Arabidopsis thaliana: one gene and its partner. The protein of the gene in region 1 interacts with the protein of each later gene in a pairwise test. Each region holds a gene or a part of one and is shown on either strand. Other genes may lie near its edges.

Region 1 (8,868 bases):
TGGTTGATAAAATTTAACTTAAAAAATGTTTCTATCTTATTCCCTTAGCTAATTCTATTCTTGTTTTAATCTTAAATTATTCTCTAATTAGCTACTTAATAAGCAGTGTAAGTCACTCCAAAACGTGTAAAGCTTTCTCTTTCAGACGTGATAATCGAGACTTGTATTTCGCATTTCTTTTCCGACGCCGATAAAGTTGTGGCTCGCCGGCGTCGGACTTTTGGTTCTGCTATTTGCTTCCTTACCTTTCTCTTATGTTTTCTGCTACCGGTTACCGTCGCTTTGCGCTTTTCCGGCCTCCTCACGGATCCTCTTTTGACAGAGTTTGATGTCGTAAGTCTCGCCTTTGGGTGGTTCCGAAGAGCTGATTCCAATGACTCTTCTCTTGCTGTCTCTCTGGTCGTGGTTGGTTTGAAGTTTGTTCCGGTTCTTCACTGAAGATCTATTCACATCTCTTCCGCCCCTATCCTCAAATATTTACCAGATCCTCCCGCCTTTTCTCTCTCCATCCTCGTTTCATCCGAATTTCCGATGTTTCAGAGTTTGCTGTTAGCGTTTTCGGACTCCTCTGCTCCTCTCTCCTCCGCCAGCCGCCGTGAAGTTGCTCGTGTGTATGAGCTAGGTCAAATTCTGGGTTACAGGATGCAAAGGTTGTTCTTGGTTTTGGCTTGGCCCAACAACAACCTTTTCTGTTGGGGCAGTTCTAGCCTAATTTTCTTTATGGGCTCAATTGACAATTAGGCCTCTGTGAGTTTTTATTTGGTTTGCCCTAATTTTTCTAATTTCTCTTTGTCGCTTCTTTCACCTCATCTCCTGCATCAAGACATCGTGCTTCCTCAGTCTCCTTTTCCATCCTACCAAGACAAGGAGATGTACATTCCTCCTACTCGAAGTGAGAGCCCTCCTTCATCGTTATCCCTTCCCAAGTTGTTGAGAAGATGTTCACCTTTATCCCTTCCCATTTTGTTGAGAGGATGTTCTTCGGAGAGATCTTTCTCTTGTGTCTTAGTTGGCTTAGCATTAGCCAAATCTTTGATTGGAATTGTTGTCCTAGTTGGAGCGTCAATCCCGTACAATAGATCACGCTTAGTGTTCTTTGTTTCCAATGACATCGTTTCACTCGATATCTTTTATGGTTTTGAGTGTTAGGATTGTTCTTTTATTCTCTTGTTCTTATGTTTATTGTTTGACCTTAAGAGCAACTTCATTGCACAATAGAAAGAGGATATCTTTAATAATATTAAAACATTAAATTTACAAAATATTAATATTCAAATATGAAGGATCTTTAAATTGGAGATATCATATCCTCTCAAAAATGTCTATTCTTAGACATTTAAGATATTGTGTCTTTATTTTAAAGACATCCAAAAATTAAAATAATATTTTTTGGAATATATTATATTTTAAGTGTAAGAAGACACTCTCCTTATTTGTTCAATGTAGATGCTCTAATGGCAGTAATTTCTGCAATTTCTTTCTTTTGGCTGATGTTTATTCCAGCTCTTGTAATCAAGTTATCTTTTGATGGATAGTTTTATAAAAGATTGGTCACAAAAAAAAAATAGTGTAAGTCTATAAATACATATTAGTGGAATATGTTTTTATTGATTAGAGATTTAGAGTATTAACATATACTTCTTGTTATGCCAAAGAATCCTAAAGTTATATTAGAATTAGATTCAACTACAACATGATTGCGTTTTCTGTTTTTTTTTTTTTTCGTCAACAACATTGCGTTAAACTTTAAAGAGAATTTATTTGAATATTTAGATACGTATATAGGTGACAGCACCCGCCGTTGGTTCTGACAAAACGGTAAATCAAATGCTCATAAGCTTGACATCTAAAGAAAAAAGGGAGCTAAAAAAATTGATCCAACTTGACGTATAAGTGGAATCGATTTTTTGAAAGCATACATGGGGTTGGGGTCCCTGTCCCTCTAAAGATAAGCATAATTCAACATTTTCGAATATTCCTTAGAATACGAATTGTGACTTATAATCTTTAAACGTCATTATACTAGTGCTAATTATCCTCTGCATGCATGACGTCCCCAAATCAGACAAACATTAATTCGAACCTTATTTTGATTGAATAACATTCAATTTCATTAGTATATTTTGGGAAACAATGCATGCACACCCACTTCCTTGACCGAGCTGATAAATTCAGAATTAGGTAAGCCAAACCCAAAATGGGCTGCCGAAACAAAGTGCATGAACATCAATTTAAACATGTTTTTCTTTGTTAAAGTTGAGTCAAAGGCTATTCTAAAAATATTACATTTTTTTTTTTGGAAGTTCCAAATAAAAAGGAAGCCGTCACTATACTATTCACGACAAGAAGATTTACATCATTCCTGAAATTATCAATCAAACGAATAGCTAAAAATGTAAAAATTGTATTGGGTTTTTGGAGTGGACTATTCAGGAATTTCATCTCATAATGGGTTTTTATATAAGATAAATAGTTACAACCCATTTTTAAGAGGCCCAAGGGACGTTTATTTTAAAAAGCTACTGATCCCTTTACAAATTTACGAACAAATAAAGCATATCTTCGAAATTACCAATCTGTATCACACAAAAAAACAACAACACTGAGATATGGAAATTTTCGAGATTAATCTAACGGTGAAGTCCTTATGTGAAATTACGAAACTGCCTTATTCATGTTCATCTTCATCTTTCTGAAGTACCCCTTTTGCTCCCAGAACAATGTCCGCCGTCGTGCTCCGACCAAAACATGTAGTCTAAGTCTAATACTAGTTTGTATCATTATCTGTTACAACAAACATATCTGTGTACGGTAAAGGGCTTATCTTTGTGAAATGGATCTTTATTTGGGCTTTACCTTGTGACACAATAATATGTAGCCTTGGTTTGTGATATAAATTATTTTTTAAAGTTGGGATGTCAGCTGGGTTTCTCCATCTTCTGTAATGAATGTAGTTGATTCAAGTTCCGAGAAATTTATGAAGAAGCAAAAAAAAGAAAGCAAAAAAAAAACATTTAAGTACGAGATAGATTGATATACACTCATTCAAAAGAGAAAAAGTTATTTATACAGCAAGATAGTAGTAGTAATACAATCTGCCTTTCTAGTTTGTTAACTAAAAAGAAGAACAATAGAAAACATATAATTTTACATATATAACTCACCAATATTAAAATCAATATATATGGTAATTTATTTTCTAAACAATTTTTGTTTTATTTCATAAGAGTCTGTTTTCGTTTAATTTAATAAGAGGCTTAGACTTTTGTATTTATATATTAATTATTACATGCATTGAAATTTTGCAGAATCTTACACTCTAAAAGTATGATATATATTTTTATTTTTCAATAAGTGTTAAAATGCTAAACAACACCACAGATGTTCGTGTTATCGATTTGTCTCCAAAACTTCCTGTTATCTATAAAGTTGGCTCACAAAATCATACACCTATGCATCAAGAACGTACCACAGGTACGAAATGCCATAAATTATAAACTTTTGACGCTTACATTGGAAACAAGACAGAAAACAATACTATTATTCAACTCACAAAACCTTAACTAGATGTCTGAAAGCTAAAACATGTTGCATTGATCAGTGACAAGAGACTATTTCATTTAGTAATGATAAATTGATAAACTATGCTTATTCTTTAGTCTTTACAACCAAGTTGTCTGACTTTTAAATTGTTAATTAACCATCCCAAACATTATCGAAACCCGGAAAGATAAAAACATTTAAAAAAAATGCTCTCATAGTTTCATGATACTAAATTCAACTCCCTCGATAATATTTTTTCCCGTCATATTAATAAACATATGATATATATTTAAAAATCAACATCATCATCATCTAAGAATCTGTGCATTTCCAAGCATCTGGTGATGATCAGACCGCATAATGCCACACCCTTTTCCTCCATATCCTCCACCAACAGTACCCGCAAGTGCTCCTCCGGCCACCGCCGTCATTCCTCCGCCGTTAACCACCGCATGTTCCTCCAGCGACTGCACTTGCTTCTTGAGAAACTTAACGTAATGGATAGCCTCATCGAGCATCGACGCCGTATCCATCTTAGTCCCACCGGGAACAAGCCGCTGAAGAATCCGAATCCGCTCGCTTATCCTCTCCCTTCGATGCCGAGCTGCCACGCTCTGTGGATCCTTAGAGATCCTCACGTTCTTTCTCTTTGGTGGCTTTACGGATTCCGGATCAATATGTATAGGCTGCATCACGGCTATTCGAAAGATCATCTCTCTCATCGCCGCCATGTTGGCGTTGTCGCTGCAGCCTCCTCTCTTCTCCGGGAGAGATGATGACGGGGAGGGGGCGTACCGGAAATTTAAACCGGGTTGGTGGTGAGGCATGGTTTGGTCAAATGGGAGATGAGAATGAGTGGGGTTGAAGAAGAACGGGTGGGTGTTGGATTCAGAAAGCATCATAATGTTATGGGGATTAGGGTTAGGGTTTGAGTTAGAGAAGTGTTCAGGAAGCTTCTCCATCTGCTGCATCATCATGTTCATTAGAATGTCGGAGTTATCCATCCTCCTTTTTTGTGGAATTTATAGGGTTTGTTTTTTCTTTGAGAGATATGGAGAAGCTGGTGAGATAAGGTATGGAGGAAGAAGAAGATGGACTGACAAAGCTTGAAATTTAGGGCTTTGTGTGTCTGAATCACAGAAGAGATGATGGTGGAAGACAGAGGGAGAGTTATGTGCGAAATGTAAACTGTTACTACCAATCAGAGATTCAGCAATATAAAAGGAAGTGATGGATTTATATAGCACTTTGTGACCCATTCTTATTATTTTACTCCTTTTTATTACATATATAATTTATAACAATTAGGATTGTTTTCCTTCTTCTATTTTTCACACTCCTAAAACTTTGTAACACACACGTATATGTATTTAGTAAATATATGTATGTATACATTAACGTACACTAGCTAGCAGTTGAAAATTTGTTCATTGCTTTGACATGGATGTTTCAACCTTCCATATGCATTGGACAGTTATATTTATGTTGCACGTATTTTTTTTAACTATAAATAAAATTATACTATTTATTTTATGACAAAAAATATAAATTTATTTACTTTAAACTTTCAATACCAGTTTTGCATAAATTAGTTGGTGTACTTATATATACTTTTGTCTGGAATCATTGCAACTCGCAAGAGATTGGAATCACTAGTCACTTGGTGTCACTAAAATTAGCTGATGAATGGAAAATTCGTTTTGAGTCATATTTCATGAAGGATATTATCCTTTGTCTGGATCAACCGTTCACGTGTCACAATCGGTGGGATTTTGGACCCACGAGTTGTGAACTAAGGCGCTTCTGGACAAATGAAGGTGCATGAACCGCTCTCACCATTTGAGGCAGCAACCATGAATTTTCCTATTTCTACAATTTTAATTTGTTTTCAAAATATAAAAATAAATCTTTTATATAAGTTCGAATGAGTGTAATGGGAAAGACTGAAAGAGAGAGTAGTTGTGTAGTTTTTTTTTTTTGGTATCTAAATTTTATACTACTGTTTTTTTTTGTTTATAATTGTTAATTACCCCACATCCACATGAAATATGTCAGAATCCAGGGAACCCATCTGTTTCGCCGGGATCTGTTCAGGCGACGGCGAAACAATATTACCTTGAATTCAAGTTTTCTTATTTTAACTTTTAACCTGGATGGATCCAATATGTTATGCATGAGAATATTAATGAGATGCACTGTCTTCGTTAGTAAGTAGTAAATAAGATTGATGTTATAACTTCTTTGAACATGCTTGAAGAAAACGTACTACGTTATTATTTTTTTGCATGATTTTTTTGTTTTTGTTTAAATGAGTAATATAGTGAATTTCTCGAGTTTCACAAATACAAACCATCATGTTAACGTATTTAGTTTATATGAATTTGTTTTGCAATGTATATACTAAGGGAGTGTATATTATGGAAGAATATTATCTTATATATAATGGACTCAATATAATCGAACCTCACTTGGCGTCGAGCGTTGGTATATGGCACGCTTATCAAAGCCGATCGGAAAGGACTTATTGCGATCTTCATTAAATTATTTTTCTCTTTATTTTAAGAACTTTACGTGAACATAGAGTAGTACTGTTTATTGACAAAAAACAAATAAAGAACAAAAGAAAGAAATTCTTATAACATTAGTTAACAAAGGAATTGCACTTCAACAACCAAATTAATAATAAATGACTCTTTCCTTAAAAATGCATACGTCAAACGTCAAAAACCTCACAATCTTCAATCAAGATCAATGCTTGGCTTCATTTGTGCAAAATCATCGGGTTTTTTCTTTTCATTCATAGAAATCATCTCTTTTGACGTCACAAAAGTAATTGCTTACTTGTTAATTAAAATTATTATGAGTTCGTCTTCTACCCTATAATTAGCCTAAAATAGACAGACACAGTAAGTTGCTTTGGACTTGGTTTTACCCTCTTATGTTGACACTGAAACATGTAAGAAAGCTAACGAAACGATGACGTTTCGCTGCTCTCTCTTTTTCAATCAGCTTCGTAAGTAACAAAAATAGATGCTATTTTCCCCTTTTCACCTTTTTACTTACACAAAGTCACTGTAAGAATTAAACACTCCTCCTTCCCACCGAATCTAAATTTCTTAACCAAGATTCCAAGTCTTGTTCGTACAATTTTTTTTTTTGTCTCTCGAGAACTTCCTTTTTCGATTTTTTTTCTTTAATTATTGAACTGTTTAATCAAAGTCGCCCATGTCATTCACTACGTTATTGATTGAACAAATGCCGTTAAAATCGACAGCAAATTTAAAAATGTACTAATAAAGAATAAGAACTCAGAATGGAAAACATTAGCTAAGATTGTTTACTGAAATTTGCGATGCAACTCTAAAACGCCAATGACGATTTGTTTAGTTGGAAGAATCTTTTTGTAAAAAAGTTTGAAAAATCTTTATGTATTTAACATATCTTGATCAGATAGTACTCTCATCAATTCACCGAATAAAAAATGCAAAGATCATATATGATGTAATTTTATATGAAACTCACCACAAACAAACTTATAAATTAAATAGACTTCCATAAAATCTAGAGTTTAGTAGTGATTGGACTACTGACTTTTTTCGTCGGATGTATTTATTAAAAAAAAAAAAGTTGTCATCGTAGTATTTGGTTGAGGATGGGCAGTGTATTAAAATAACAAACACTGGGATATTGGAAGCATATATCAAAAAATTCTAAAAGGAATTATATTTTAATAATTAAATAAACAAAAATTGGGGTAGGTTGCCTCCCAAGGCAAGGTAGTGATACAGCTGTGTTCATGTCCCAAGCATCATCTATGCCCTTTGCTCCATATTAACACCACAATTTCTATCCCCTAATGATTAATCACGTTTTCCGACAAATTTTTAAACTACTCCTTAATTAAAATATTCATAATTGAAAAAATGAAAAATATATATCGATTTATACTCGATTAATATCCTGTTTTTTACTCGATCATGAGTTGATGACAATATCCTTAATGTTAGGTTTATACTTTATAGATAACATTCTTATAATTTCTTGAACAAGTGCTCTGTATTCTTCTGACACATTTTTATCTTCTTTTTTCGTTTCTTTAGTTATTATATTGTTCATATCATATATGAAAAAAAAAAAAAAGATAAATCTGAATTCATTTGCTTTCTTTATTGCTCTTTTTTTTCAATTATGTATTTCCAATCTCTCTTTTTATTCGGATAAATTCTCATGTTCTCTGTGACAGGATAAAGTTCATGCACCCCTCTTTAATTATTGCTACTATCGTAGTATATTATATTTCACTTTCTGGAGCAATTTTCTTACAGAAATGGCACTTTCTTTAACTTTCTAGACAAACACTCACCAGATTTATCAATAGATTCAATACAGAAGTTCATACAAAACGAGTACCAAACTAAATTGTAATCAAGAACAAACTAAAAAAATTAAAATAAAAATAAGGAAAGCGTATATAATATGCATGGAGAGGCAAACAAAAGTCAAAACCTAGAAGATAGGAGCCTTTGGATTGGGAGAAAACCAATTATAACAATTTTAATGTATGGACGAATTAAGTAGAAAAAGAGGATTGTGATAAAGATTTGTTTCTAAATAAAGTATAAAAACATTTTTACCAAATAAGGAAGAAAAGAAAGAAAGAAAGCTCATGTAAAATGCATGGAGATTGGAGAGGCAAACAAAAGTCAAAAGTGAATCAAAACCTAGAATATAAAATGTAACATATGGAAGTGCTTCAATAAAAAAATAAAAAAAAAAAAGTGCCTCAATCGGGAGAAATTAAAATTTTAACATATGGAAGAATTAAGACAAACAAAATGGATAATTTTAAAAATAAAATTTCCTAATAAGGAAATGTTTTGGAATGAAGAAGATTAGATCTTAGATCCATTTAATTGGATCTCCTCTCTTTTCTTTGTTTGTTTCTTGTTTTTTAGTAGAATTTTGGTATTTGGTACATTCTTTGACTCTTGTTTTTAAACACCCATCCATGTCCCTTGTGCTATATTAAATGTACTCAATTTACATATTTTCCGGTGCACCTCACAAGACATATGTAAAATGTAAGATAATATATTTGTTTTCATTATTGAACGAAATCATGAAAACAAATATATAAAATGTACCGCACAAGTCACAAGACGAGACATATGTAAAAATGTACTCAGTTTATATAAATTATATCTATGAACCGACGTGCAACATCGTAACAAATCAGCTAAAGTGTTAATACACTAAATGGGCCTGAAAACTTATATGACCCATTCATAACACGGGCCTCTATACCTTTGAAGTTCATAAGCAAAT
Region 2 (6,933 bases), on another chromosome or scaffold:
AGAATTCTATTTCAATTCACCAGAAAAAAATGATTTAGGGTTTTAAGTTTTAACTTTTAGTGAAGAAGTCGTTCCGAGGGTAGTTGACACTTGACAATATTGCCGCGAATCCTTTTTTGTACGGACCTCTTAGTGTTTAATGGGTTCAGGCCCAGTTATGTTAAGCCCAATTATAACATAACTAAGGCAATCAAAAAACATGTGGAATCGTAATCTTTTAGGCTTTTAGCCCATACAGGATGTGATTAGTTATAATCTATCAATGGTTTTTATTTTAAATTTTGGTTTGGTAAAGGATGTTGAAGTTAACATTATTGATTACAACTTCGTACTATACGATGTTCAACCTTAAATTCATCTTTGTAATGTAATTTGGATAGAGAGTAGATAGGGTTGGTAAGAAAATTATATCTTCCCCGACTTTCCGCTATGTGTGGAGTAAATAGTTCCATAGAGTTCGATATAGCTGCATTGTTGTGGGTCAGAAATTACGTTATAATGAATACTAAAACTGATATTGTTTTTTTTCTAGCGGCAAATGTGTTTAAATTTCTGTGTAGATGCTAGCTCTAGTACTTACACGACTAAAAAGATTTGTCTTGTATATGTATGTACAAGGAATATACATGAACTCTATTGTTGGACCACGGGAACTCAAATCTAGTAAGTTCATCATAAGCTTAAATAAATATCGACCGACTTTGGAAATCTTTGTTATAATAAAGCATGTGAAATGAGCTCATCCAGATTTAAAAATGGGCCACGTAACATTAACTTTCTCAATATCATTAATGTCAAATCTCATATGCAAGTGAAACCTCGTGATCCAATTTAATATCTATACTATATGGCGTCCTACTAAAATAAGTTATATAACTACATTAATTAATGCTAATTTTCGTTAATGAACACTTCTCATAACCGTGAAACGGCTTAATAAATAAATCAGAACATTAAAATTAAAGATTATACTCCTACTAAAGAAAAAAAAAATTCGAAGAAAAAAATGTTGAGTCTCTTTCCTCATATATCAAAGCTAAAATCCCATGTTATAAAAAAGGAAATAAAAGATTTGAAAAAAAAAAACGTTTTTTTTTGTTTTTAGGAATCGAAGAAAGAAGAGCAGTCTTGGTGTGATAATCTTCAACCTCCGAACTTCATGTCTTCTTGATCTATGCGTTGAAGAAACGAAGTAAGGACTTTAATGGTTTTGATCTGACATTGTAGAGACAGAATGTAACCAGCTGTCTCTTCGAAGAGCGCGTCCACACCAAGCGCCGCTCCTCCGGGGATAATCCTCTGCAACGCCTCAATCTTTTCCTTGACCTCATCTTCTTCTTCTTCTGCTTCTTCTCGGTCTTCACGTACGCTTGCGTTAGTCTCTGACAATCTCCGTTTGGTTCTGCGCTCGAAACCAGCGGCGCGTGATTTCACGGTGGCTGAGCATGACGGTGACAGAGAGCGTCTCGTGGCGTCGGGAGTGGCTAGAGTTTCTTCCATTGAAAGAAAGAGAGAGATGAATGATGAGTCTGAGAGAATAATGAACAAGTAAGGAATGTGGATATGTGTAACTGTGTGTGTTATATATATATATATGAGTGATGATGGATTTAGTAGACAAAAATGTTGAAATGTGGTCGGTTCAACCTGATTTTATTTTGGTTTGTTGCGAGTTTAGAGACAATACTCTATCGGTTTGATTTGGTTTGCTATGCTTTATGTTACATTGTTTGCTTACATTAGTGAAAGGTTCGGTTATGAACGAATTTTGGTTTGGTTTGTCTATAAAAAACGATGTAAAAATTGAAACGATATAAAATAAATTCTACATTTAGAAATTGGGAAATGGTTAAATGAGCGGTATTGCCATCAAAGCTGGGTCCAGTTGTGCGTTATTTTTAATTTTATTATCCTCGTGTTTCGGATTGTGGAGATTTATTTAATTATCTCTTACTTTGGTTGCTTCCACAGATTTGGATCTTTAGAAGAAGAGCTTTCACGCGCCATGTCGACTGGTTTAGACTTTAGTGGACTCATCACTCACTTAAGTGGATCAACCTCGCATCTAGATTGGATTTTTTTGTTTGTTTGATAAATGAGATTTGGCACGTTAAATTTGTTTGTTTAAGAGCTAGACGTTTGACATAGTAATTAACTAATTATACAACAATGCTTTATTATTGTATTAGGATATGCGTTGTTAATACAAGCCGGATTACTTTTAGCAAGTGTCTCATTTATTTATCAAGCCGGATTACTTGCTAAAATATTATTCGAACTTTAATTTAAACTCTAAATGGTTTGTGATCTGGTTTAGCCATAAATGTAATAGCTGCTATACGTTGTTTTGCATAGTTACCAGTCTTATTTTCTACAACAAGAATAAAGAGTATAAACTATTTTATGTGAGCTTAAATTTCCAAAAGAAAAATTCAAGTAGACGACGACAAACCCTATAGTTATGCACTTATGCTTATAGGCCATTCGGGTGGTGCCTGGTAATGGACTAATGCCTGATGGTATAAGAGTAAGTTTTGTCGTAATTACGTAGTACGGACGAAATGAAAACGACCACGCGCGTGGAGATAAGGAAGGAAAAGAAGAAGGATACAGTGAGACACTACTTGCATGGGAACAAGGAAGAGAGAGGAGAGGACATGTGCGGGTCACATGAATATCTCCATCTTCAAAGCCCCATTCCCATGTGCTTCCTCCTCTCTATACATTATGTACAGACTGTAATATAGTATTATTATTAGATGGATGAGATCAAATAGATCCTCTAAGAGATAGTGAACTTGTTCGTACAATTGAGGACCTAATCCTACTAAGATCCACATGATATCTATCGGGCATGGTGGCCACGTGTCAACCCTTTTTTGGGTCCCCCCCACCTCAGTGACCTCCTAAATCTGTCCTTCATTTTTTTTTTGTCAACTCCTTTTTCTTATTAAAAGAAACTCCAATTAACATCCCATATTTCTTACCACGTAAAAACAACAATCTCAATATATCTATAATGTTAGAGAAATGGCCACTATATAACAAGAAGAAAGCCAAGGAAGTTTAGTGTTATTGGATTCGAATATAGTGTTACATGTTTCTAGCTAGAGATCTTTATAATATACATCTTTTATACATAAAACCGTTATAGTAAATCTTACTTAATGTTGGTTCCATAAATGAGCCCTCCGGTGCATTTCTTTTGTCAACTATATGATATAAAAACTAGATAAAGACTTAATAAAAAATAATTGCATTAAAAAAAAACAATTGCATTTTTGTAGGTCTTTAATCCAAGATTGCAAATTAACCTAAATCTACTCAAGAAAAAAAATTTAGTAAAGAATAATGATTGACATCTAATTAAAAGAAATAATGTATGGTCTTAATTAAGACAAAGATCAGGAACAGAATAACACATTTCTTTTACGTCTAGGGTTTTTAGTAATACTAAAAATTGTTAAGATGTTGTTTTAGAAGAAGAAGAAGATGGAAGAGAGAAATAAAGAAAGAGATGATGTTTCCAAAGAGGGGACGAAGGAGGGTTTGGTTTCTCGGGATTGAGATTTACAAAAATCGGGTGCCTTTCGCATTTCACCATCTACCAAACTGACACTCTCCCCAATTCTAGTATCTATTTATTTATGTATTTGCACTTACATTAAATATGTTACAAAAATAACACACTCGAAATTTAATTTTAGCTTTTAGCCAGCTTTCACATTCGTCGTCTTGGAATAATCAATTCTATGTCCTTTTGTATCTTGTTCGTTGTTTCTATTTTTTCCAAAATAACTTTTATTTAATGACGAAAACCTAAATATTTATATCTAGGAGGAGTTTGAGATGATTCCCTTTCACTATTTATTTTTGTTGCCACAAAAATAAAAGAGAAGAGTTTGGTTAAAGACAAGACAGTATATGTTTTTTTAAGAATTAAGAAAGGGGAAGATTAAGAAAGAAAATATGTAATGTTTAGCTAAAAAACTCCAAATCAAGGGAAGTTAATTAGTTATCTTCTCTTTTTTTCTATAAAGGCTGGAGATATGGGCCACACAGGTGGACCTACCATGATGGGTGATCTCTGGGACAATGCATACAGTGGTTTTTGGGTCCACCTCTAACCTTATTTGTCTCCTCTCTTGGCCTCATTTAGTTGCATTTTTTTCAATTGTACATGCATTTTCACTTGCTATATCTCTCTTTTGCTTTAAAACTTATTTTATTAAAAACTTTATAATCAGAAAGAAGAAGAAAGATCCCAAATTTTTTTATTTTTATTTTAATTAAAATAGAAGTGAATAAATAATCTTTAAATGATTTTTTCTAATTTTATTTTGATATTTCTATTTTGAGATACTATTTATTGAACAGCAATCTCTCATTGTGCTCATTTATTAATTTGTAGAAGAAATAACTTGTTTAGGAAGAAAGTAAGCGAACTCAACTGTTTACACAAAAATATATACACAAATTGGTTGGTTTAAAGATATGATCAAGTGACAATGCACCTTTCTGTTTCTACTGACATTTGGAAGAACAAAGTGGTGCCTGTGATATGGGTTCCCACCACCACATGCGTTTGGATGTGCCATGAAACCATCATCATCATCACCATGCGCATCCACACTGATCCATCTTCTGTAGCCAGCGGTTCTTTTAAACGTGAAAAACTCTCAACCTTTCTTGTTATATATACCAGAATCTAACATCCATTTATTTATTTGTCGGAATAGAAAAAACAAACAAATGATGGATCACAATTAATAAAAAAAATATTTTTTGCTCATATGGTTTTGTGTCATAGACAATTTTCTTTTATGACATGAAGATGGAAACATACAATGTTCTGTGTGATGAAAGCCCAGCTTAGGTGGAGAACTAGTACATCTTTGACATACCGTACCGAACAGCTCCAACTTTCCGGTGAGCAGAACCACCAGGAGCAGCTGCTGCAGCTGCCGCTGCGACTCCTATTCCGGCAGTTGCCTGTAACAGATTTGTGTCGATTATGATCCGGTCACTGATGTTTTCGGCTTTGTTCATTCCCGTTCTAGCCATGATAAACGGGTTGTTGTCTATGTTGATGGCTACATCTGGTGCATATCTATTATACTGAGATATTTGTCTTGCCTGCTTCTCAGGCTCCATAGTTGTTCTTCTCTCTTGCTGCTTTCCCATGGCGACTGTTGCAGCAGATTGTTGTGAAAAGGGGAGATTAGTGCTCCGGATGAATGATCTCGGGTCATATGCATCTCTGCTGATTCTGCCATTGTCGAAAGGTGCAACCGGGCCCATGAATGTGCTTGGTTTGGCTGCTGCGTGTAGATAGATGTTTTACAGTTTATAGAGGTCAGTTTGGACACATTGCTGTTGGATTCAGGATGAGTGATTAAAAGTACCTGAGAGGTTTCTTTGTTGTGCTTGTATTGTTGCATGATTAAAAGGAATGTTTTGAGTAGTTTCAGGGTTCAATGTGTTTGTGTTATTCATAAGTTTTGGTTGTCCTCCTCGTGCTACTGCGGTTGAGTGTATGACCGTTGATCTGAAAGCATGCAAACACAGAGTCAGAAGGACATATTTTTATAGAAATTAGTGTTCAACACAAGAAACAGATAGTCACGGTCTTATGATTCCATCTTTTTTATCCTTGCCATGTCAATGTATATTAATATACAACTAGTATAGCAGTTGCATAACGGGGGTCAAAAACAGAGGAGATCACCGAAACCAGATCAAGTGACAACAGACTTTACAGAAAAAATGAGGATATACCTGGGAAGAGAGGCATGTTTCCTTTCTAGAGGTGCCACAGGGCCGGTTTTACCACTGTTTTCTTCAAGATGCGCAAATTGTCTTCTAAATTGATCAACAGCACTGCACAGTATACATCAATGTCAGGGACTGGGTGTGATATGCAATGCTAGCTCAAGAATGTAATCAACAAAAATTACGACCTTGGGTAGAGAAAACTGGCTTTATCAGCCCCGTTCATATGATCTTTAAGCAGCTGAGGGTGGTACTCAAGTATCTCCCTAGAAATTAGCTCTCTTATATCCTCTTTAGTGACCTTTCTTCTCTCGAACTCAAATTCCATCTTCGTGATGGGTTGACATGAAGGCTCCCTTTCCACTTTTGCCAATCCCTTAAAATATGGATCAGCAAGTGCCTGATTCAAGTATACAAGAGTAGTTTAGTGATTCACTCCAATAGAAACCCCAAATGCATGATACTCTATTATTAGAGAGAGAAAACAATCAGGAAGCCGAGAATTCAAGATTTGAGATAGTTAGTCAATATGGAAGTTGAAAAGCACCTCTTCAGCAGTTGGCCGGTCTTTTGGATCAAAAGCAAGAAGCCTCTCCAACAACTTCAGAGACAAAGGATCTGCATTTGGGAATTTCTGTGCAAACGGAATGGGTGGCTTTTTCCTCATGCTTGTTAAGTACCTCCTTGCCTTCTCATTCCTCACCTGTATAACATCATAAAAGCAGGGTACTCATCACTACTGGTCCTTGCTTAAGATGTGTAGAAACTCAATGGACTTCGTTTAGCAAGAAGATCAATACCCGTGAGATGGTGTCCAGGGAAGGTGTCCCTAGCAGATCAGTCATAAGATCCAGCTGGTGAACCACATTCTTTCCAGGGAAAAGTGGTTTACCCATCAACACCTCCGCAAAAATGCAGCCTATACTCCAGATGTCAATTGCGGGTGTATACTACAAAGCCAAATCCATCAAAAGTTATATCGCGGCAACACACCAATTAAAAGATGTTATATAGAGAACAAATGAACACCTTAGAGTAAAAAGATCCACAAAGCTCTGGAGCTCTATACCATCTGGTAGCAACATAGTCCTGTAAATTCAGTAGAAAATAATGTAGAAGAGTATCAGGTCCTGCAACGTAGTGAATAATATTTAGACCAAC

The links. The genes of interacting proteins can lie anywhere in the genome.
Region 2: the proteins of HEC2 (region 1) and PAR1 interact in a two-hybrid assay, tested with the Arabidopsis thaliana proteins (one large-scale study listed by BioGRID).

The regions. Positions count from the first base shown.
Region 1 is NC_003074.8:18,653,572-18,662,439, forward strand, and holds HEC2 (basic helix-loop-helix (bHLH) DNA-binding superfamily protein), read right to left. Parts: upstream 4,807-8,868; 5' UTR 4,548-4,806; coding exon 3,852-4,547; 3' UTR 3,384-3,851; downstream 1-3,383. Other genes in the region: AT3G50320 (uncharacterized protein), read right to left, coding at 265-463, 565-618, 806-854, 947-1,112.
Region 2 is NC_003071.7:17,835,688-17,842,620, forward strand, and holds PAR1 (phy rapidly regulated 1), read right to left. Parts: upstream 1,932-6,933; 5' UTR 1,501-1,931; coding exon 1,144-1,500; 3' UTR 729-1,143; downstream 1-728. Other genes in the region: MPK20 (MAP kinase 20), read right to left, coding at 4,885-5,321, 5,406-5,548, 5,779-5,880, 5,961-6,172, 6,320-6,475, 6,573-6,722, 6,802-6,861. UniProt on the Arabidopsis thaliana protein: Atypical bHLH transcription factor that acts as a negative regulator of a variety of shade avoidance syndrome (SAS) responses, including seedling elongation and photosynthetic pigment accumulation.